Drosophila melanogaster: one gene and its partners. The protein of the gene in region 1 interacts with the protein of each later gene in a pairwise test. Each region holds a gene or a part of one and is shown on either strand. Other genes may lie near its edges.

The links. Proteins that work in one complex are often made in the same cells at the same time.
Region 2: the proteins of CG46385 (region 1) and Dyb interact in a two-hybrid assay, tested with the Drosophila melanogaster proteins (one large-scale study listed by BioGRID).
Region 3: the proteins of CG46385 (region 1) and CG13488 interact in a two-hybrid assay, tested with the Drosophila melanogaster proteins (one large-scale study listed by BioGRID).

What each region holds. Positions count from the first base shown.
Region 1 is NT_033778.4:7,777,579-7,785,866, forward strand, and holds the start of CG46385 (uncharacterized protein), read right to left. Parts: upstream 5,060-8,288; 5' UTR 4,149-5,059; intron 2,308-4,148; 5' UTR 1,887-2,307; coding exon 897-1,886; intron 1-896.
Region 2 is NT_033778.4:12,432,930-12,441,528, reverse strand, and holds the start of Dyb (dystrobrevin), read right to left. Parts: upstream 4,185-8,599; 5' UTR 4,140-4,184; coding exon of another isoform or gene 4,120-4,139; 5' UTR 3,639-4,119; intron 897-3,638; exon of another isoform or gene 794-896; coding exon of another isoform or gene 401-793; exon of another isoform or gene 392-400; intron 342-391; coding exon of another isoform or gene 340-341; exon of another isoform or gene 209-339; intron 1-208. Other genes in the region: CG30334 (uncharacterized protein), read left to right, coding at 401-793; Tmem18 (transmembrane protein 18), read right to left, coding at 4,682-4,810, 4,867-5,015, 5,091-5,208, 5,273-5,332; DUBAI (deubiquitinating apoptotic inhibitor), read left to right, coding at 6,248-7,057, 7,123-7,454, 7,713-8,550.
Region 3 is NT_033778.4:21,947,526-21,954,246, reverse strand, and holds CG13488 (uncharacterized protein), read right to left. Parts: upstream 2,656-6,721; 5' UTR 2,621-2,655; coding exon 2,477-2,620; intron 2,404-2,476; coding exon 1,843-2,403; 3' UTR 1,685-1,842; downstream 1-1,684. Other genes in the region: CG43405 (uncharacterized protein), read left to right, coding at 295-564.

The DNA of each region.
Region 1 (8,288 bases):
GGGAGGAGATAACAAACTGCAAAACAATTGCAAAAAATAAAAAAAAGCCCACAAATCAGGGTGAGAAGTCTTAGATTGTTCGCCTCAAGTTGTGCAGTATAGTTTGGGCTCCATTTCGCAACTCCCGAAATGAAATCAGCTTATCAAAAATATATGGATGACTAAGCACTTGCCTTGCTGCCTCTTTTCCCTTATCAAAGTTCTTGTTTGTGTGCCATTAATTATGGCTGCTTCCTTCGGTAGCCGCTAGAAGCTGATTAGAGCGCAAACTTCTCGAAAGGTGTCAACAGTTCACGTATGGAAAGTTACGAAAGTTTGGGGGCCATTATTAGTTTTAAGTCTATCCATTCCATCAATATGTACTCCCAAGCATCTCTAATGCCTAATGGTGACCGTCTAGCCGAACTATAAATGCAATGCGCATTACCTTATCAAAATCATACCATTTGCACTTGAAAATCACAACTAAGTTCGAAGATATTCTATAAATAACTACATTTTATCATATTTCAATGTGCATTTTTCTGTGGTATTTCCTGTTCTAAACCCATAATTGAGTACTTTCGTTTTCAGAATATATTGTGATATAAATCAATAAATTTTCCAAGAAATGCGGTGATTTCTTTCCACGTTTTTCCCCGAGTCAAAGGTTCTGTCGTTTTTTTTTTTTTTGGGCTTAAGCTAAGATCTACTATTCAAGTTCACCACCTAGCCTGCAGGTTTTCAAACTCTATATTCTAAAGATAGCAGATAGCAGATACACTAAAGTCAAACTGCCAACTGTGCCAATAAATAAGTTCGTCAACGCAAATAAACAGCACACACCCCGCCCATCGAATAATAAATAACTTAAACTTACTTCTAGACAATATCTGTGCTAACCGTTCTGGACTCACCTGCATTATGGGATACGCGAGACGTCCTTTGCCGAGCCGCTCTATGATCGTCAGCTTGGTGGTGCTGGCCATGACTCCGGCGATGTTGGAGGAGGACAGGACCGGACGCGGCGGTGGGACGATGGGCACAAAGTCACGATTCCTTTCGGCGAAGCTGCGATCGAACGAGTTGCGTCGGTCGCTGTGGGAGCGTCTATAGGCCACGTGGTTGCCATTACCACCGCCAGCGGTATTGGGCGCCCGACCCGCTTGATGGCCATTTTGTGAGCTGTTGTACTGGGATACGCCCATGTAGGACTTGGACTTGCGATACTGCTTGGCGGAGTAGACAACCGGCTCCGGGTAATGGAGATCGCTGTGATTGCTGGCGGTCTCCGATCCGGAACTGGTTGACGACGACGAAAAGGAGGAGGCAGAAGCGGAAGAGCTGGATGCGGATGCGGGGACTGTGGATGCGGTTACGGCGGTGGTCAGGCCGGAGATCATCGATGGCTTGGAGCATTTGGCACAGGGCACGGCCAAGGCGGCTGTCAGCAGTTCAGCGGGATTAATTTTTCCCACTCCACTGTCCAATGTTGCCAATGTGTCCGAGATGTTGCTGCTGTTGCTGCTCATGTTGCTGCTGCTCTTGCTGCTCATGTTGCTGCTGTTGCTGTTTATGTCGATGCTGTTCCTGAAGCTGTTGCTTCTGTAGTTGCTGCTGTCGCGTGGCAGCGACTGTAGGAATATCTGTTGGCGTTGCGGCTTCGCTTTCTTGCCGCTGCGCTGCGACTGCTGCTGATTTCCTTTGCCTGCATTCTTTTTGTTGTTGCCGCTGTTGTTATTGCTGTTAGGCTTTGTGGATTGGCCCTTGTTTGTTTTGTTGTTGTTGTAGTTGTTGTTGTTGCTAAGTTTGCTGCTGTTTTCAATGTTGCTGCTATTCTTGCCCGCCGCCGGCAACATTGCCTCTTGCTGCCTCTCCTTGTCCTTGTCCGCCTTCTTGTTTACCATTTTTGGATTGCCCCTGTTAACTGTTATCCGTGCTGCGCTTCTACAGTTCCGTTAGTTCTCTGCGTTCTACGTTCCGTGCGCAATTGGCTTTTGGATCGTGCTTGCGCTTGTGTTTTGTTGTTGTCGCTCTTGTCTCCGCTTATCTGGCCCTCTCACTCGCGCTCGCGCATTCGCTCTCGTTTTCGTTGAGCTTTTTTTGTGTTTTTAGTTTGTGGTGCCACGTTTTGTTGTTGGCGCGCTGCGATATTATATTTTGTATATTTCGCTTACGTTCTTTTTATTTTTATATTAAATGAGCTTTTGTTGTACACCTTTTGAAATGTTTTTAATCACGAAATTCACGAATGTTGTTTCTCACTTGCTAACACTTTTTTTTAACTGCGTCTTTTCGGCGAAATTGCTGTTCTTCGTTTTGCTACCCCTTTTGGTTTGGATGACATTTACCGCAAGATAAGCAAGTGAGAGAGGGAGAGAGCGGCAGCGATCACCATGTAAAGAGAGAAAAGAGAAAGGGGAAGAAACAAAATTAGTTATTGGTTATTTGCTTTCTCGAACAATTGTTTTCGCCATTCCGTTCGAGACTTTGCTTATTTGTACTAAATGCATTTGATTTATTTTAATGAAGCCAAAATCACTTATGAAAGCGTATTCCTCACATGTGCCCATCCACCCCTTTTTTTTGTGAGTCTTTATCACACATTTTGTTTTTGATTAACTGCTGTGGGTTCCTAAAGGAGCTAAAAGTATAAAAGTCTCCACCATTTTCAAACGCGCAATTCGTATTACTTATTTCTTGCGTTCATTCGAAAAAGCAAAAACAAAAAGCCGAAAAATAGCGCATAATATATAAAAACATGTACATACATACGTACATATGTATGTACATATGCCGTTGTGCCATGTTTGTTGGTATGTAAATGCTTGCCATTTGGTTCTCCCTCTTTTGATCCCTCCATCTCATTCTATCCCCCAGACCGATGATGTAAGTTTTCGTATCGGAATGCTTTATTTTTTCCCCTTGCTCTTCCTTTCGACACCGAGTCGCCGAGTAAATGTGTGATGATTGCTAAACTGACCACAAGATCAATAACTTTGACTCCCCATAAACTGCTAAGATTGCTCATTAAACTCTTTAAAAGTGCGCGAAATCCGTCTAAATATTTTATACTCTTTAAATCGCCTTAAGTTCAAAATTCGCTAGCATCTACTGAAGTTTATCAGTAGCAATAGGATATGGATATATGTAAGTATGTAAATTGTATGTACAAATGGGTCAGAACCAATCCAATGAATTTATGAGAATAGTTACGATACCCTCTGTAAGGGTATAGAAATAAAACAGTTCTCGGGCTACTCTTATTGTTATTTACCAGACTTTATGACTCAATCGCAATGAGAGAAATTCAAACTGATCTCTTTCAAATCAGTTAAGTGCTTTTCCAGAATTATCGAACACTAACCGTTCTTGAACCCAAAAGTGATGGATGAACGTAAGAACGACGATAATTATTCTTGTCTAACGAGCTAACATATTAGTTTTTGTGTCAAATAAATACTAATAACAACATTTGGGGTTCCCACGTGCGTTAAATTGCATTGTTATTGAACTTTTGCCCACAGCAAGTGTTCTACGAAGTTTATTTATTCAAGAGAGTACAAACGTTTTATATTTAAATGTAAGAAAAAGATTGATTAAATTGTTTATTTTAAGAACAACAAAAATGCACCAAATATACAAATTGATGTTTCATCTTTAAATGCAAAATTTTGGTTTCGAATTCTAGTTTTAAGTTATTTTTTTTGCATTAAGTATGTATGTACATATGTACTCAAAATATGTACTGCAATGAAAATATAGGAAACCAAACCACTTTGAGAGGATTTCGGGTTGAATAATATCTGAAGGTGTTTTCATCTACATATTGTACATACATACATATCTACACCGACAAAAAATAGCGAAACCGGAAATGCCAGATGCCAAGACTAACCGAGACCCAAAAGTGATGAGCAGGGGGGTGGAAGGGGAAGATGGAGGGAAAGGTGTATGCTGTGGTGTGTGCCTAGATTGTTATCCGCATTTCTGGTTTGCTTTTCATTATAGGCAGAACAGAATACAACACCATGCGGCACGATGCGATCTGCGAATACCCCGGACCCTGAGAATCGGCGCTGCAGTCACGTAGACCCACTAATTGAGCGAGATCAATAACGGTGATTGTGTGTGCACCTATATGCATATATATGTACGAATGTATTTACCTGAACAATTCGGACAGCTCGTGCCTAGTCGCGCATTATCCAAAATTACGCAGAACGGCTTCGGGTTCCGCCGCCGGGTGCTCCTTCTTCGTAGGGTTAAAACCGAACAGAATCCTAGCTAAAGTGGGGCACGGATTGCTGAATTTCCAAAGTATCGCTATCGGCGGTGGTCTATCGGTATCGGTATGCTAACGACGACGGGCAGCAGGGTGTGGGGGGAGTTTACCGTTCCGGCGAACCGCTGGCAGAGCGCCTTAAACTAAAGTCGAAGGGCGGGCCAGGATGGCGATCGGTGAATCCGGTATTCGGTTTTGATTTTGGATTACTACGGCAAGGTAACAAGCCAAAACTTTCGGTTTTCTCTGCGCACAGATTCTGACAGCTTACACCCCAATTGCTCGGTTACCGTTACTTTTCGTCTTACGATACCGTTGCACTGCACACACTGAGGGACACTTACGCACAAACACAAACACACGCGTTCGCTCACTCAACTTCCAACTTTGTGATTTGCGATTTTCGATTTGGAATTTGATTTTTGATTTGGAATTATTTCAATTTCACTTTTTCGCTCGCCTGTTGCCGTATTTGCTTCGTTGCTTTCGGACCACGCGTTTCGATCGTTTCGTTTTGCGGAAGCTTGCCCAAAAGCTTCGAGAATGTGGTTTTTCGATTTAACAGCAAAAAGGGCTGAACAAAGTTGCACTTGCACCTGCCTAAAAAGAGCGATATTCCGGTTGGATTATGGGAATTTTTAGTTTGTGCAAGTTTAACTGAACTCCTGGTGAGTTGCTAAAGTCAATATTCTGTCTAACGGCTGCTCTGCGTTCGATCGGATCTCGGTGGGCACTGTACAGCTCCCTGTGTTTGGTCTACTTGAGTGTCGAACATGTGACGAGCAACTGATGGCGCTGGCCTGCTCCATTGGTCCGCCGGCCAGGCGAAGACGCGCGACGGCGGCAGCGGTACAGTGGGTACAGTAAGGCCTGCCTAAAAGTACTTTCACTTAGAAAGGGCACTCATTGAAATCACTGGCCATTTGTTTTAAATAAAAAGTGGCTAAAACACATACATATGTATATTTTTATTTCACAGCTATTGGGTTCAGAAAAATAAGAGTTATTATTCGATTCCATTAATAGGTTAATTTTCAACGTTCTTAAAGTCTAATCTCTATTAACGTTCGATACATTTTACGCTAGTTGAATACAAAACCATAAACAAGACATTCGGCACCGTTCATTGTATAATTAACATTAGTAAATAATGGTTTGTCACTATCTGGAAGTTTCTAGAGTTTAAATACGTTTTCATACCTTAAGTTTTATGTACACGCCATTTTGTAAGAGGATTATGTACGTGATTAACTGCATATCATATAAATCTTATTCTCGTCGACGTTCCACTGTAGTGAGTGTGGGCAAAGCGGAGGCGCCGACAATTCTAGAGAGTGCCATCGAAAAGTTCGCGAAACGGAATTAGCAACAACAATTAAGTCGGAAATGAGCAGCTCGCTGTCTCTCTCGCTCTCTGACCATACTAAGCTCCCCCTCTTTAAATACTCGAAACCATCCATGTCTTTCTACCTTCGGCGAAGAAAAGCTTTTAGAGCTTTTGAGTAGTAGGTCCAGCCGGAATGTCCAACGTTTGGTCAGGTCTCGCATCTGCAAGGTAGAGAAAAAAGAATGAAATATAATTTGAAACTATATAAATTCTAGTTCCAAAAACCCACCTCCACATAATTGTACATGGCCAGGTCGCAAATGGCGAAGGCGTCCTGCCAGCGGGATTCGGTGAACAGGGCCAACGTCTCGTCCAGTGGCAGCTGCTTGGCCAAAATGTCGGTGAGCAGCGTGACATCCTCCATTCCAGCATTCATACCCTGGCCGTAGTACGGAACCATCGCATGGGCGGCATCGCCCAGGATCAGTGCCTTATCCGCATAATGATACGGCCGGCACTTGATGGACACCAGAAACTGTGGCCTGGTCTTGAAGAAGTCCTTTATGAGCTGTTGCTCTCCAATCAGTGGCAGTGCGTCCCGGAAGTTCAGCTTAAAGAATTCCAGGAGATCGTTTTGATTCTGAATGCCAGCGAAGATCTCAAAGGGCATGGACAGCGTGACCGTGAAAGACTTATCCTGATTCGGCAGGGCAATCATCATGAAGGTGTTACGCGGCCATATGTGCAGATAGTTGGCAGGCATCTGGAAGTCTCCCGATTTCGAGGGTATGCAGAGCTCCAGATACCCCGTTTCTATGTACTCCTGGGAGTAGTTGAAGCCCGGCAAACGGACCAAGTGCTGGCGCACACTACTGAAGGCACCATCGCAGCCGACTATAAGATCAGCATGGGCAGCTACGGCTTCCTTGGCGGGATTGCGGAACTCCATGGATCCCTCTCGCAGATTGGCACTTGTCAGCTTGTGCTCGAAGTGGCAGCGTATATTGGGCAGCTTATCGCAGGCATTCAAAAGGACTTCGTTCAGCTGTCGACGTCCCACGGAGTACAGGCATTGATTGTTAATGGGATCGTATAGGACCACACTGGAGTTTCCTCGCACATCGTGGAGCATTCTGCCTCGCATGGGTATGGCGGTGGCCAGCACCTCTTGCTCCAGACCCACGGCGGCCAGCGCCTTACGGCCACGCTGCGAAAGAGCCAGGTTAATACTCCTGCCCTGAACCACTAGGGCCTCGCGGATATCCTCCCGGTACTCGTACAAATCCACGTGGTTGCCCATGCGGGCAAAGTTCAAGGCTGCCAGAGAACCCACCTAGTGTTATGGAGAATAAGATGCGTAGAAAGCGTGATAAGAGCCTTATATCTGGAAGCAGGGATTTAAAAACACTAAAGATAACGCATCTAACTACATATGTGAAGACACATCAAAATGCAGCATAATTTAAAGATTACTTAGGAATGATTCGAAAAGAATTCGAATTCTATAATTCTACTACTATGATGTGTATTTTAGCAAATTAGCAAAGCTTAGTTTTAGATATTATGAAGCTTAACTAGAATTATTGCCTGTTTATAACCGTACTACGGTCTACTCTAAATATAGACTATATATTATTTTGTTAATGATTAACACTAAATTTCATTCGCTATATTTATAGACCCACAATCTATTTATGCTTTCGCAGAGTAATAATTGTATACTTCAAATAACTTTGTTACACTCACAAGTCCTGCTCCAATAACCGCCACCCGGCGCCGTCGTCCATGTCTCTCGTCCCTCGCAGCTTCTGTTGGCTCCTGGCGGCCGTTTACCTCCTGGCTAACGATTCCTGGGCTCATGACCGTTCTGCTGGCTCGTTGGCAGCGAAATGAAGATGGAATCGAGATGGAAGCCAGGCAACTGGCTGGGGAAATGTTTAACCAAGAGATTATGTCAGATGGGCAGTAAATGGTATCTATGGTTGTTTGATGTTGCTGCGGGAAGCCAACGAAATGCAGCGGCGTAGCCACAAACATTTGTCTTGGGGTAACTTTCCTAAGTTGGGCTGCAGAAAATGAAGATTTTACACCTGATACTTGATTCGTTGAGAAGCATGTGTAACCATTTGAAGCGATTGTCCGTATAAACATCCCGATCAACAAATAAAAAACTATATAAGCTAGAGGGTATGTACATAGATTCTACGCTATGTAAGATTGGCACGCCCACTCTATAATTCACAAACCTTTCAAAACTGTTACGCGCACACTTTCGAAAAGTGTTTTGATATTATTTTGTATCAGTAGTATTTCAAACGAATGTTTCAAATATTGACCTGCGTTTCCTCGTGTTTACTTGTTAAATAAGCTAAGTTAACTAAGCTTAAGTAATGGGAAAATATATCATTACAAATTCAAAATTCAGAATATGTTTTTATTTTTCTTTATTACATACTCGTACAAATGCATCTATCTTCGATGGACAAGAAGAAAACATAAGATTAAGCCAACAATGAATTCACGATAAGAAAACATTAGATTAAGCCAGCCCAGATTACATGATATAATTAAACATTTTAAACAGATAAGAACTGTAAATTGTGAGCACTTACACTTAAGATTGCTAATGAAGGAAAATTACCAAGTATATGAATGGAAATTTTGGATCATACTAAAGAAGTGTCATGCAGTTCAATT
Region 2 (8,599 bases), 4.7 Mb from region 1:
ATGCTATTCTTGCCAATGCTTTTCACATATATTGTAAATAAACAATATTTAGATTATGGCCCCCCATTCGCAAAGCGGAAGTCCGATGCCCAAATATTTATTGGCCACGATCGGTGTTTACAAACAAAACACGCGCCAGATGAAACAATGGCCATATATTAACCCCCACCGCTGTCGATCGAATCAGTCGGATCAGTTGGCTCCATAGAATGCCATACTTATGGGCAGTCTAGTTGGCTTTTCGGCTTTTAATGGGAAATAACGAAGCAATTGTTGGAGGCGATTATCGAAATTATACCGAATAGAGGAGCTCACTGGCCGCGCACAGTGAAGTCCAGAATGTGAGTAGTTGATACCGAATGCCTTCCAATTGATGGACCTCCGATATTAGCCAGCTAACATGTCCAGCTGCAGACAGTTCAATCCGTTCTACATTGGACCCTATCCGGAGCGTGCGTGCGGCGATTGTCCGTATGGCGAGTACTCGGGCTTCACCAGATGCGGATGGAGTGGCGGTAACGGGCCCTTTGGCACCACCTTCTGTGACTCCCGCTATGGCGGAGGAGGAGGAGGCGGCCAAGGCGGTGGAGGAGGGAGAGGTGGATGTGGAGGCAGAGGCAGAGGTGGTTGTGCGCCATCTTGTGGTCCTCGTGGCGGATCGTGGTCCTGTGGTCCCCGCCCGTATTCCCCGTGCTATCAATTTCCGTACGGAGCGGACAGCTGCATGATGTGCTCCAGTGGATTTGGCTGCTGTGGCCAATCCTGTCGCGCATCCTGCTACTCCTGCTGCTGAGCATGTACGTCTCGTGGACTCTGGACTTCACTGTTTGCGGTTAATTGGTTTCTTGAGTTATTTCTTTCTTTTTCTTTTTTTTGAGCAAAATTGATTGTAAAGCAAGAACAATTATGGTTAGCCCTTTGGGTTTATTATTATGGGCTTGGTCTTAAAATAACCAGATGCTTTACGCTCCAATCGCTAGCGAAAATCCCCTGTAATGGAATGCCCACACATGACTGCCTCTTGGTTATGGAGAACAAAGTTGTCGCCCGCGATAAATGTATGTACATCCCATACATCAAACGAGGCCACTGCGGGTGTGGAAATCCGGGCCAGAATCCGGTGTGGAGAGGAGTAGGGAGGAGAGGAGTGGAAAGGAGGTCGGCGCCGCTAAATGCGATTACAGCATAAACGATTAATTTTATTGCAGTTAGCCGAGCCGGGACGCTTGTTCCATAAACTAATTAAAGCCCAGTGGAAAGTGGACAGTGGATACATTCGCCGCTGACTTCAAAGAAAGGGTTAATTGTGCGCCTTGTGCGGAATTGGTCCCCCTTTTTCATTCCGCTCTCTTGGTTTTCCATTCTTCCTTTGTCTTTTCCGCAGACAACTGGGCAGTTTTCTTCGTTTTCTTTGTTTTCTAGGCCGAAATTACTCCGTGGCTAGATTTGGTGGGCACCACGTTCTCGTTCTGCTCCTCGACGCTACTATGGCCATTGTTGTGGCGGCTGTCATGTTGTGGGTGGCCGCACTCAGCTCTGTTTGTTTGTTTGTTTTTTTCTTTTTTTTTCCATGCTGCTCTGCGTGTTTGTCGCTTTGCTCTTTTTTCCCCTCTGCCTTCTTTTTCGTGTCACGCCTCATTTAGCTTTTCACAACATTTCCAAATTTCCACCCACCCGGTCGACACGTCGCATCGCAGCGCACGTAGTGTCGGAAATATCTGGGGATGTGGAGCAGTGGTGCCTAGTCCTCTGCACTCTCGGCTCTTAGCAGCACACATCAAAATTAACCGAAATAACCAGTGGGATGCGTGTATGCAGCTCTGTATCTGTGAACTAGATCGAGTCGCTTCGTCTTCAGATTGGAATGCCCCTCGTAATGAGCCACAATATGTTCGAGTTAATTGCATCGGATCGAAGTTGCCGCGGGGGAAATATCAACAGGCAGGCAATAGAGTCACGGTAGGCTAGGCAATTTTCCATATATAACGAATATTTGATCGTAATGGATATAAATGGATATAATAATGAGTTAAAGAAAGGCACCCCTGTGCGCAAGCTTTTGAGAATAGCTACCACTTAACAATTTCTTAGCTTACAATACAAGCCAGTAGTTAACTCAACTTGAATGCCATATTTTTCTGGAGTGATTCTATTTATGTAGGGGTATATGTAGCAACCACTTGCACTACACTTCAACACCTGATTTATGCATTTAATCGTAAAATTTAAAGATCGTCATAATGCCAATGAGTCGTAAAAACCAGCCAATTAAAGCCACTTAAATTTGGCAAATGGCAAGCGCACTTTTCCAAATGCATGGCTTTGATTTAATACCTGTGATAAAAGCAATGCGCTTAATGTTGGATCGTGGGATTATCTAGTGATTGTTCCGATTGCAGATAGTATTCGTGTATAGATGAGGGGCTCGAAAGTGAAACTCGCTGATATCGCAAGAGCATTCGATCCATTTTACTTGCCGACTTGTAGGTGGTTCGGAATGCCGCTTGGCATTCGGGTTTGAGCTTCGTTTTGAACTTCGGCTTGGCGCACCTGCCACGAGTGTTCCCCCTCTCATTCTCGCTCCCACTCCCGCACTCGCTCGCAGCCCCCTCCCTGGTGGACTCTCTCCTTCGCACCTTCGCGCGCTTGTTGGTGGGCCGGGCGAGCAGCCGCCGTTTTTCAAATGCTAAAATTGGCGATTAGTCAAAATGATGTCACCGAGTTATTTTGATTGTTTTTTTTCTTTCATTATTTCTATGTATTTATTTCGCTTGACTTTGGCATTTTGGCGACACGCTGACCATAAATTCCGTATTATTGTTTTTCCTGCTATTCGATATCACCGATTGCCAAAGGTGGGCTAAGATACAAAATGCTCTAATCTAAACACCAAGTTGCAGTGTGTGTGTGTGTGACTTTTCATTCGCACGACGCTTAATTATTCGCTGAGCTAATCATTTCACCGACTGCCATATGGCGGTATGTGATCTAATCTCAATGAGCAAAAGGTCTAGTTATTAAGGCATGCGGCTCAGTTTGATATGGAATTTTTCAACTATGCGAACTTGGATGTCAACCAGACGCAATAGTTAAGGAAATTCATTAAAACTTCAAACATTTCAGTTCCTTAAACTTATCTTGTATGAAGTATTATAGAGGAGATATCAATATACCCGTTAAGCTTTTTAATATAATTTACACAATTTCATAATTTCGTGAACGAGCGAACATGGGGCGTGGCGTGAACCACTAGACTTTCCAACGGAATGCAAATAGTTTAACTATGGTTTCCCACATAGCAAAAACAACCAAATCCGAACTTTCCTCCTAGCTGCCCGCAAACATATTTAGTTGTAAACTAAATTCCAGGCGCAACCACAAACAGGCTTGGTTCAAAGTGTGGAGGGGAGGGGGGAGTGTTTTGGGAGTGGGCGCAGGGGGGCAGACACTTTTTATGAATGAACACTGTGCGCTGCGTCGCCAACGCGTCACTCATCCGAGTTTTCCTATCGCGGAAATCTACTACGCATTTCAGTGGGTAAGTGAGGGGGGTGGAAGGGCAATCTTAGCAACATTTTATTGGTATTGTTTATGCCCGGGAATTTGGTAATATAATCCGCACATTATTTGTTGTTTACCTTTTGTAATTAGCAACCTTTTTTAATACGTCACTTTTTGTTGGGCTGCGCGGAGTTGCTGCTTCTTCTTGCTGCTCTTTCTCCTCCTTCTCCTGTTTCTCTGCACTTATCGCGTTTTATTTTCACCTGCTGTTTACACACAATAAACGATGAACGGTAAACGGAGTTGCCAAACTCGCGTTAGCGAACGAGAGAGCAAGATGCAGCGCCGAGATAGAGAGCGAAGATGCTGCGCCCTTTTGGCCTTTGGTAAAAAATATGGTAACAGAAAAACTTCTTTTTTTCGGGCTACGCTTATGGGCTCAAAACACATACACACCGACGGCAAAAACGCACACACACAAGCGAGCTCGCAGGAATTTTGAGCCTGGCTTTAAACCGCAATGCTATGCAAAACTTTTTTCTGGCTTGCCAACGGTAAATACGCAGCGCGATTTGCGATTAGCTCCGTGCGAATATCTTATCAACGGATTTTGTTTACCCAAAAACCACTTCCAACATTGCGCCGCGACACTGCTTCGACACCCACAAGCCAGCAACAACAAAATCGTTGGACAGTGTTACCAGACGACGAAGGGCTCCCAATTGAATTCGTACTAAAAAATGACACAGGTCCAACGAGCTTCTAATTTGAAATTACAGTCTTGGCACACAGATCAGAAATTGATACAGGCAATAAGCTGATTGGATCTATAATGTTAATTTCGTCAAAAATATCAAAATAGTTCATATTACGTGATATATATAGAAAATTTTAGGTGGCAGTAAAAACTGCTTTACCAAGGTGGCAACGGTAACTGGTGTGATTTTTTGCTTAATATGAAGGGCATGTTAGGTTTGTAACTTCGCTAAGTAAAACAGGATGTAAAAATAGCCTAAATTTACAAATTCTATAAGTTTGATTATACTAAATTAAATTTATTTTAAAGACGAGAGCTGTGCAGCAAACTACATCTAGATGACAGGAAAATCCATTTAAAGCATAACATATAATTTCACAGCTCTACTTGTGCTTTTAACTGCATGTAATACAGGCGTAAGTTCTACTCTGCCTTTTTATGTGCTATGGATTCCGAATCCGCCTTAGTCTGGCGTTCCTTGCGAGCTCGCTCCTTGAGCTGCGCTGTTTTTAGAGTCACCATCAGCTGCGTGGAGTTGTAGAGCCAAGTGCCCTGCAAATAAGCAAAGATAAATACACACTTCATGCAGTGGAAACACTATAACTTACAATCAAAAGCATGCAATTAAGCAAAATAGGTATTGAGAAAACTGTCGAGATAAACAGGCCGTTGCTATCGAAGTATTGTTGTCTGGAAAAGGAACTCCAGTTGTTAGCAGCGAACTCATTGATGCTTTCGGTGAAGTAGACTGCCAGCACTGAGGAAGATGAAGCACATGCAAAAATCAGAGTCATTTATCGGGTAAGTCAAGGAAGCCGCCAAGTCCACGTACACAGTACTAGGAAGAGGAAAACCTGGAAGTTGGAGCTGTTCCGGCTGAGCAGCGCAGTGGTGGTGGTTAAGATATGCGCCAAAATAAGGCCAATAAGCCAGGGATCCTTCCAATCGATCTGCAAAAATAGTGACAACTTGCCGGATTCTTGATTTTTGATTGTATATAGGCGAGTATCTTACGCTCAGCAGAAATGTCCAATAGCCATTGATCTCGTTGACCTCAATTTGCCCTGGGTGCATCGTACAGATTTTTGTGAATATAAATGTTTCCTGTATATATTTTGCGATATATTCGAAAGCCGAGTCAAAACAAACATAAATAGCCATTCGCAGCGAACAGCTGTCATTTTTCATGGCAACGCCATTTTGGGAGGCCTATAGACGTTCAGGCTTCCTCAATTTTGACTGGATCTGGTAGCGCTGTTTGTAAGACCTAACTTACTATTTTATGGGCTAAATATAACAACATAAATCAAAATACTATTATTTCGTTTAGTATGTATTACTCACCATATAAATGCAATTACAAATTTTGTGCCACCTCATTCTCACCCACCCCGACTTGTCGTGCAGAGTCGCCCTGCCCGTCATTCAGTCTGAACGTGTCGATAACGCTTTCACTGACTCAGTAGACAACATTAACAAATCCGAAAAATATCACAAAGAATTCGTTTTAAAACAGTCAAAATTGTAGTTTTTAGGGCGAATCAAATCTATTCGGGTTATTAAGTCGAACGGGCGACGTGTGAGCAAGCAATCGAAGCTAAAGCCGAGCAGGGTAATCCGAAAAAAGGGGCGCCTTAGATGTGGCACGGGCCACCGACCCTACCGTGCACCACACTCGTCTAGGACTCTGTTCTAAAGCGCTTGTGGCGGGAGTTTCTGGCCAGGATCGGGCAGGGATCGAGGCGCACTCGAGACCCGTTGAAAGGTCGCAGTCAAATCGTAACGACGACACGTAACGGAGCGCGGTTCAAGGACACGCGGCTCAGACTCCTCGCTCAGAGTCGCAGGCAACGAAAAAGCCGCTGTGTTCGGGCGCTAGGCAAGCCCACGCCTCCGCCCATCGGCAACTGGAAGTTCCAGTCGGCCCTGTGGTCCGCAAGCCTTTGTGCCACTCACGTCCACGCCCACGCCAAGCGATTGAAACGCGAAATGGCCGTTAAGCAGAATAACAGCGAGGCGGGTGATAATGCCTCGGATAATGCCGGAGGAGCTGGCAACGGCATTCCGCCCAACGCCAAACCCATGTCCGCGAACGGAATGGCGAATGCCGAAGAGAACGTATTGCCAAAGGGCATGGACACGGGTTCGCCCGCTGGCGAGAGCCTGAACTCCAACCGATCGGGCAAGCGGGATATTAAGGCCCTGCTGGCATACCTCCAAAGCATCGATATGCCGGAGCAAGGCCACAATGTGATGGCCATCTGCGAGAGGGTTATCGTGGACTTGGCCCGTCTGCAAATTCCACGAGGCGCATCCTGTCCACGCCTAAAGGAAGACGTCTGCCAGGTCGGTGCCTTTCTGGCTACGCGCAACGAGAAGTTCCACCAAATGTTCTACCTGCGTGTCGTCTACGAGCTGATCACCAAGTCGCCATTCGAGCCACCACCCTCGTGTGCCGTGGCCATTGTGTTCCAGCTGTTCGACTCCACGCAGATCCTGGAGGCTGTACACTCGCTGCTGGAACAGAATGTGCAGGACTCGAGCATTAAGAAGACGGTGAACCTGCTCTGTGATTGGATCACGTACTGCACCTTTTGCAGCACTCTCAATCTTTGGGTGCTGGCGCTGCTCAAGGGGCTAAGGGATCAGGGCAAAATGGCGCTGCTCGACGAGATTGCAATGGACAACATCGAGAAGCTGTTCCACGTGATGATCTTTCCGGCGCTGAGGCAAAAGGCCGCACCGGTTGTGTTTCACATGCTGTCAACGATTAATCAGACCCCCGAGGTTTTTCACAAGGTAAACACTTCACTCAAACATTAGCTTCAACATAATTATTGACATTTGGTTGGTTACCCTATTAGATCTTGCCAAGGATCCCACGAGTCCTGCAGTATGTGAAGAATCAGTCGACCACCATGGACGAGATTGGCCTGGAAACCAAGAAATGTCTGCAGCAACTGGTCGACCTAACCAGCGCCCTAATGCTACGTTTCTATGATCAGGATGAGCTCTATGTCGCAACCAAGAAAGCCCTGCAGACCTATGAGCCCTCTCCGAATTGCGTGGCTCTGGCAAAGGCAATGCATGAGAATGCCCAGCCGTGGGGTCGGCGGAATGCGAGGGTTGGACTCGTTAACCTGGGGAATACCTGCTACATGAATAGCGTACTTCAGGCGCTAGCCATGACCAGCGAGTAAGTAAAGATCAAATGAAGAAACCCCACTTCTAATTTCCCCAAAGTAGAAGCGCAAAATAATATCTTTGCCTCATATTTATGATTAAAACTCGGTTCTATATTTGCATTGCCTTGCCAGCACCTTTTGTTTAAGAGCTCACTGTTTATAAATCTGTTTTAGGTGTCAATTTCCGATTACGAAAATAATTACGATTACGAAGCTTATTGGCTTTATTTATCTTCTTACAACTACATATACTCATTTTCCATTTGCAGTTTTAGCAGGCAAATCCTGCTTATCGAGTGCAATTCAGTGCTGCTCATGAAAGTGCAGCAGCAGATTGCCCTGATGCATCACTCGCTGCGCTACGAACTAACGCCTTCGCGAGTGCTGAACGCCACCCGGCCGCCTAGCTTCACGCCCGGCCTACAACAGGACAGCTCCGAGTTCCTAGGATATCTGCTCGACCTGCTGCACGAGCACGAGATCAACAGCTCCTCAGTCACTGGTCACAGTGTTGGTCCTCCGAAGACCGGCAGGGAAGTGGACGACGTGCCCGCACTGCTGAGCGAGGATATATTGTCGAGCGGCGTTATTCCGTACAACAGCAAGGATCACGAGCTCAGCAGTGGAAGCAACAGTGACAATTGTAATCACAAGCCCACACCGACACCACCCGCGACTCCCACCAAAGCCACCAACGGCTTAAAGCAGCAGGGCCAGCAGGTTGATCAGGCGAAGCCACCATCTACCATTGACAAGACGTTCGCTGGCAAGCTTTCCACCACCTATCGATGTTTAAACTGCGGCTGGGAGAGCCGGAACGAGGACAGCTTTCGCGAGCTGCAGCTGTCTTTTCCCGATGATAAGGAAGACTGTGGAGCCACCAACTACTCGGTGCAGGATCTGATCGAGTACTACTGCTCGCCCGAGAAGCTGGACGGTGACAATCAATATTTCTGTCCACAATGCAAGAAGCTTTGCGATGCGGAGCGCCACATCGGGGTCACCCAGGCACCGAAGAACCTTATTCTCACGCTCAAGCAGTTCAAGTACGATCAGAAGTACCACTTCCGCACCAAGCTCATGCATAAGGTGTTCCACGATGAGAGCGTAAGTATCGCAGCGAATTTCTCCGCTACAAGTTTAGCTAACCATTTCG
Region 3 (6,721 bases), about 14 Mb from region 1:
TTTTGAAATGATATCTATTAACTTAATATATGGCAACCAAAAATCAAATTTAAAGTACAAAAAAATATCGACTTCAGTAAGCTGCGACTGTACTCTTAAAATTAAAAAAAAATCTATACCCAAAATAAAATTTCTGAAGGGTCAGGGTCATCGAAATTCTTAAGCTGCTATGCAAGGAACGGTGAGAAGCATTCGTTAATTTAATGTGATTTTCCTTATACATATTTCCTTCCATTTAGAGGGTTCAATCTATTATCGAAAGCAACAAAATTTGCAATTTATTTCCCATAAGCTATGGCCGAGTTGGATGCTACAACCCTATCTGAATACGATATTGAATATATAGACTTTAACATGACAACTGTGGCGTACCGTACAACCACTGGACACCCGGATACTAACCTAGGTGCTTGGGGACTTTTGTTCATATTCGTCGTAATTTTTCTTATCATTGCTGCCTGCTGTGCTTGTATGGGTGTTCTCGTCCTTTTTGGTTGTATGAAGTCCTTTCTCTGTTTTCGCTGTAGACGCCGAGGCGACGAGTTTATAGGAAGGGAACCCTGACTGTCGTTGAAATTCTGTCATTAAAACTGAAACTTGTGCTAATAAAATTATATGTTTTGTATGAATCGAAGTCCAAAGGAATTATTTTGCCGACAAATTAATGCGGTCCTGCCAAATTACGGCAGAGTAATTGGAAAAGGATGTACTGAAGTTCAATATAACATTAACCAAACATAATTCTAAGGAGAAACGTCAGGACTTACCAGATTCCTGGACAAGTGGCATCTACCAGTAGAGAATCCTTGGCCAAAGTGCCAGTGTGACAAATGTAAACCGATTAGCCACAGCTGGGGCCGATTATCAGATGGCCCAAAGAAAATAGCCCAGGCCCTACAGAAAATGCCTCAGGTCAGGAATTTCCAGAGCTTTCTCTGCGGACTGTGGACTATGGACTGAGTGCATAAATTCCTGGCATCTCCTGCAGCTGCAGGAAAGACACAAAACACTCGCCCAAGTCCAAGTCGTAAATGCACTCAGCACTTTGTCAGCTCTCAGACAGGAAATGCAGTTGCCATTTTTCTTTCATCCCAGCAAATCCCGTTCACCTCCTGCCTTTGGCCCCCGCCCGGAAAGTCGTTCTGCAACTGTCTACATTTTTCACTTGCCATCCATAAAAAGTATCAGTTTTAGTTTCAGTTTTAGTCCTCGCTTGGCTAAAAGTCTCGTATGTCTTTTGCCTGTCTGTTGGCTCTGTTGTTTTGCTGTCTCAATTTCGCCAACGCTTCCATATTCAGTTTCATAATTTTTACCCAAGTTTATCATCCTCTTTGCCAGGCATGACAAAGTTTTCATTGCCGTCGACACAGGGCCTGGAAAAAGTTTCCTCCAGCTGTGAAGTGCATTAAACAATGCCCTCATACATGATCCGAGTGATGAGGAAGGGGACGTGCTGTGCTAAAATTGCATTTATCGAGGGGGAGTAAGTGCAAGGACACAAAAGGATAATAGCTTCGATGCACTTTCTTACTGCCAGGCGTTGGTACATGTTCAATTTACAAATGCTATGAATACGTTTTCTTTTATAAAGAACATCCACTTTCTAGCCAAGGAACTGCTTAACATAGCAATAATAAATATTACTAAAATACATTCTTAATGCAAATTCAAACTTCGTTCTTATATTGCTTTCATTGATAATACCTCAAGGTCATGGCCGGTTATATTTAAACCACAAACATTCTCTTGCTCCACCCACCCATAAATAATGTTTATAACTCTTCTTATCACTAAACGGCATATCGTATTGCCTAACAATTCGTTCACCCGGGCCGCCGCACTCTAATCTCTGAAATTTCCCAGCCATTTGACGAATTCCCTCAGCTTCTCCAATCTTCGGGGTCCGCCACGAGTCAAGATTTTCCTCCACCTGCGCTCCACAGCCAAACGATCCTCCCTGTCTATGGACTCCAGGTGCTTCCTCAACTTCCGGTATATCAGCTTCTGAAGCTGGGATGTCCGGGTCTGAACCGTGCGCTTCCATCGATCGAATCCGTTGCGCTGCAAGCAAAGCGCAATCAACTGGGTCTCGATACTGGAAGTTCTCAGTGGATCTCCCGTGGTATCCGAATCTAGATAGTCCTCAATCACGCCATAGAAGGCATTTAGCTTCTGCTCCGTTTTATTCGCATTTACGGCAGTGAAGGCATCGAAGCGATCCAAGTAGCCCAACAGAATGGAGTTCTGCGAGTCCAAGACGATCAGATCTTCCACCACATAGTCCACCAGCTCGATTGCCTGGGAAACTAGCTGAGTGCTGATTGTTTGCAGAGCGTAATCTGATTGCAAATACAACCGATAGCGACTTCGATCTCCATAGGTATTGATCAAAGAAGGGGTCAGCTGGAATAATATGAAAGCATTTATATTCAAGCCATAGTTAGTATGAATTGAGTGTTATAAAATGTTAATTAACCAAGCTACACATGTTGGATGATTTATTGCTGTAAAGCTTTTGTTCTGATTTTAAATGTACAGTTGTATGTTTTAATTTAACGATGTTTCGTGTATATTCGATACCCACCACGAGTAGAAAACCTAGTAAATTCTGATAGCTCATGGCCGACTTGTTCCCTCGAAAGGCGTTCGTCTACTGAACATACTCTACTCAATACTCAATAAACTGGGAAACAGAGCAAGTCGTAGATAGTCTTATCTATCTGAAATTTCCATGTTGAAGGTTGGCGCTTGTCCAAAGGAAATAAATTATTTATAATTTCATAAAGATGACACATGACGTCATCAAGTCAATGACGTTTCGTAGGTGAAGAACCGGCAGATAAGTGATAGGAGGAGGTTTATTGGACTTAAATTTATGAATGGACGCCGCCGGGGGCCAGACAGTAGTTATCTGCATTTAACAATGATTTCGATTCAGGCAAGCGTCTGAAGAGTTTTAGCCACTGGCTCTTTATCTCTCACAGAGAGCAAATAACCCACCCAAAGCGGTGAGATATGTGCCCAAATCTAAATCGCTTAGCAACTGAAGATGGCCAGCGAGTGCGGCAGAAAAAGGCGAAAGCTTGACAGCGAAACTATTCATTGCGTATACGCTGCTTGGGCCGTAATAGCAGTGAAATAAAAGTCCACTTAGTCAGCAGTGTGACGGGCAGTGGAAGAGAAGGGGTAGGGAATGGGGGAAGAGGTTGAGGATGCGATATGGGGGGTCATTCATTGTGCTGGGGTCAGACCCTCAGGACAATCGCCTGTATCCGTGTGTGTGCCGTTGTGATAAATGCTTGAACTGGGTCAGTGGCGTACGATGATGAAACTCTGAGCGCCAAAATGGCAAATAAAACGCCGATTGTTCGTATCAGAGTTTCAAATGAAATCCTCTATCCCTGCCCCACAATAAATGCCTCGCATTTGGAGTTTTCGAGTGGCCGACAAATCCCCAATGCGCTGCGCTCAGCAACGAACTGCAATTTCAACTTTGATAAGCGAAGTTTAGTGCAAAAATCCAAAAAAAAAGGGAAATAAAAAAATCACCATCACCCCCGCCATATGACAATGTTATTAGCGTAGTTTTTGCGATTTCCAGGGATTTAAAGCGTTTTTATGTCCTTTTTTTTTTTGTGCGGCTAGCGTTGCGATGGTAACTTTTCAGTGCCGCATCCAAATCCTGATGGATGCGAAAGCGTTGAACCGGTCTAAACTTAATTGGGAATCTGTGCGAAAGGGTGAAGTCCCTGGGATTGTTCAGAATTCCGCAGCCAAAAAATCAAGGGAACATCATCAAGCCCGAAGACTGCTAAACAATTACGTCCTTTGGGGCTGAGAAATCCCAGCGCCTTTTATATGGCGAAACAATAACCGAGAACTTTGCCTCCGGCGAAACAGCCGCCTAACACAAGTGCTATAAATTGCCTCAACAACGCCTGCTGTTTCTCCGCCCAACCATTTCCCCTTTATCAACTCCCCAACCGTTGCATGCAAATTTCAATAACTTGTATTCGGTAACCCTTCCAACAACTGACACTGAATATCAAATATGAGTTGGGGCCAAAAATTATTTGCATACTTTCGGGGATGCTTTGCAGCACTCCAAAAAACAAGAAGAGCGAAACAAAAATTGAGATAATATGCATAGTGCGTTCTGCCTAGGCTCAAAATACCCTTTCTTTTTTTATTGAATACTTTATGATCTATACCATACACCATTTGAAAATAAAAACTATTTTCTTTTGCTTAGCCATGCCAGAAAGAACTTAAAGCTGAGAGTAACACAAGTACCTTAATGGTTTTAAATTTTTTTTAAATTTAAAACTTATTCAACATAACTAATTTCTATAGAGTATTCCAACCGAAGAGGAAGGAACCCACAGGAAGTACAACCAGACTCGCACATGTGGCGCGCTTTGGTTTCGGTGGGGGGATGAAAGCCCTAAACAGGAGCAAAAAAGGATACAGAAGCGAAAAAAGAGGAATCGCTACATGCCTTTGTAAGGGGGTGTAAACAGCAGAAGCAATCCTTTTTTTTTCGTTACACCGAAACGAGTTATTTATTGCATTTGCAAATTTTACACAACATTTTGCAGTTACCTCAGTGCCGTAAAATCCGGTGCTCTCTCCACTTTTCCACCGCAAAAGGTGGAGCCGAAGTTTATCGCGGTAAAAATTGATTCAGTTTGTACACAAATTTGCATGTGTATCGCGGTAGCAGACTCCTCCTCGGGCTTTGTGTAATGCGAAGCTGCAAGTTCAATGAAGCCAAAAGGTGTTGCCTTCCCATCCCTCAAGCCGTGAAATGGATGTGCAAATATTTTCATAAATTTGTATGCCAAAGTTTCAGGTGTCATGTTTGAAAATATCCCAGAGATATTTCGAAATTCCAAAAAAAAAAAAAACGAGAGAAGAGTGCTGGAAATTTGAATTTTGCGGTGTCAATGAAAATTTGATTTTTTACATTCTTGCTTGAAAAATTGCAGCGATAATTTTTGATAGAGTTGTAAATTTCAGTTTGATTCGGAGGAAGCGGTTTATGAAATTGCAACATAATTTATTGTATGGCATAAATATCTTGGAATTTCTTGTGACATTTTGATAAGTGCAAAATTTCTAGGAGCTGTTCGTATTAAATGGAAAAGTTAAGTGAGCATTTTTTTCGTTTAACGATTTGATTTCCCTTTCATTGCTGTTGTTGCAACTCTTACTTTTTGAACCCTTTCCTGAGGATATTTTCCACAAAAAATGTAACTAATTCGCATGTCCTTCTGGTTGCCACTTATCTCTGCTGCTGTTATTTGCTGAAATATGGGGGATGTCAGGCCAAATAAAGGTGACCAATAAAAAGTGTGGCCAAGATAAGCAAAGTGGTGCAGACAAAGCCCGCAAAACAAAACCGAGGGAAAAAAGGCGACTGAAACCAGGTTGGAAAGCTGAACAAAAGCTGGCTATGATTTAAGTTTTTTTATTTCCTCCTCGCGCCAGCAAAATTGATCAAGATATATAGGTGTATTTTGCGGGTAACCTGGTTAAGTGCACAGTCGAGCTGTCAAGATAAGTTCCTTGTTTTAGGTTTCTGGCTACACTTTAAGCCCTTAATATGTGTGTCCAACTTTTGTTTAACTTTATTCGGATTTCTTTGACCGCACCGGTTAGTCTTTGTCCCGTATCCTTCGGATTTCCCGTAAGATGAATGCGCTCTGCTTATCTGGTGGTCACTTTTCCTCTGTCTCGATTTCAATGTTGGGGATTCCCGCTTTCCGGGCTTTCGTTGCCTGTCAAACGGTGTTTTAGTGCCGGTCACAGGATACTCCGGTCCGCCCGATTATCTCCTAGCTCCGTGCTGAAAGCGATATGTCTGCACGGTGGGCTGTCCCTTGTCCTCGGGAATGGGATACCCTTCGGCTTGACAGCATCTTAACTAATATAATGCCCAATTTTCTGTGGTTTATGGCTTACAACTGTCAATGCTTCGTCCGACCATCCATCTAAGCATTTGCCTCTGCGGGTTGCGCTGAGCTTTTTACGGGATTTTCCTTGACCATTGAAAGGTCGTTATTTAAATTGATATAAATGATATGTCCTTGCGTTGGCTCTCCTGCTTTTTTTGAGTTCTTTGTTTGGTCAGTACTTTGACATTCGGCGGGGCTGTAAGTGAATTTCAAATCGATATCAACGCTAAGTGACTTTGATTTATCAATGTGCATTGTGCATGAGTTATTTGCACACACGTTTGTGTCTCGACCACTATTTGAGCAATTCGCCTTGTCCTTGTCCAGAGTGCAAACACAGTGTCCTGTGGACACAGCTGTTGGACCCGCATGCTCAGGGTGCACGCAAACAATTAGCTGAAGTGGGGCTTCTGATTTTGGCCACACAACATCTTTTCAATCACATTAAAGCCATCGCCTCGGCGATATTTTATTGGGCAGTTTGCGCGTCTTTTAACAAATTGCAGGACATTACGTTTTTATGTTCGCAGGCACTTGGTCCTGTTTGAGTGTTTATCTGGCTATATCTCAAGATCCTCGCTTAATGGCATCGCTATAGCGAAATTTCATTTGGCTCGGGCAATTAAAATGCCACTGAAGTCGTTATTCCGATGGCTAGCTGCATTTAATGGAACACACTCATCCTTCGATTTCCTGCACTTTACGACTTATGCGCCAGTTTTTCCGAAACATTTTCCGAGCTAATTAAAGGACATCGCACAATG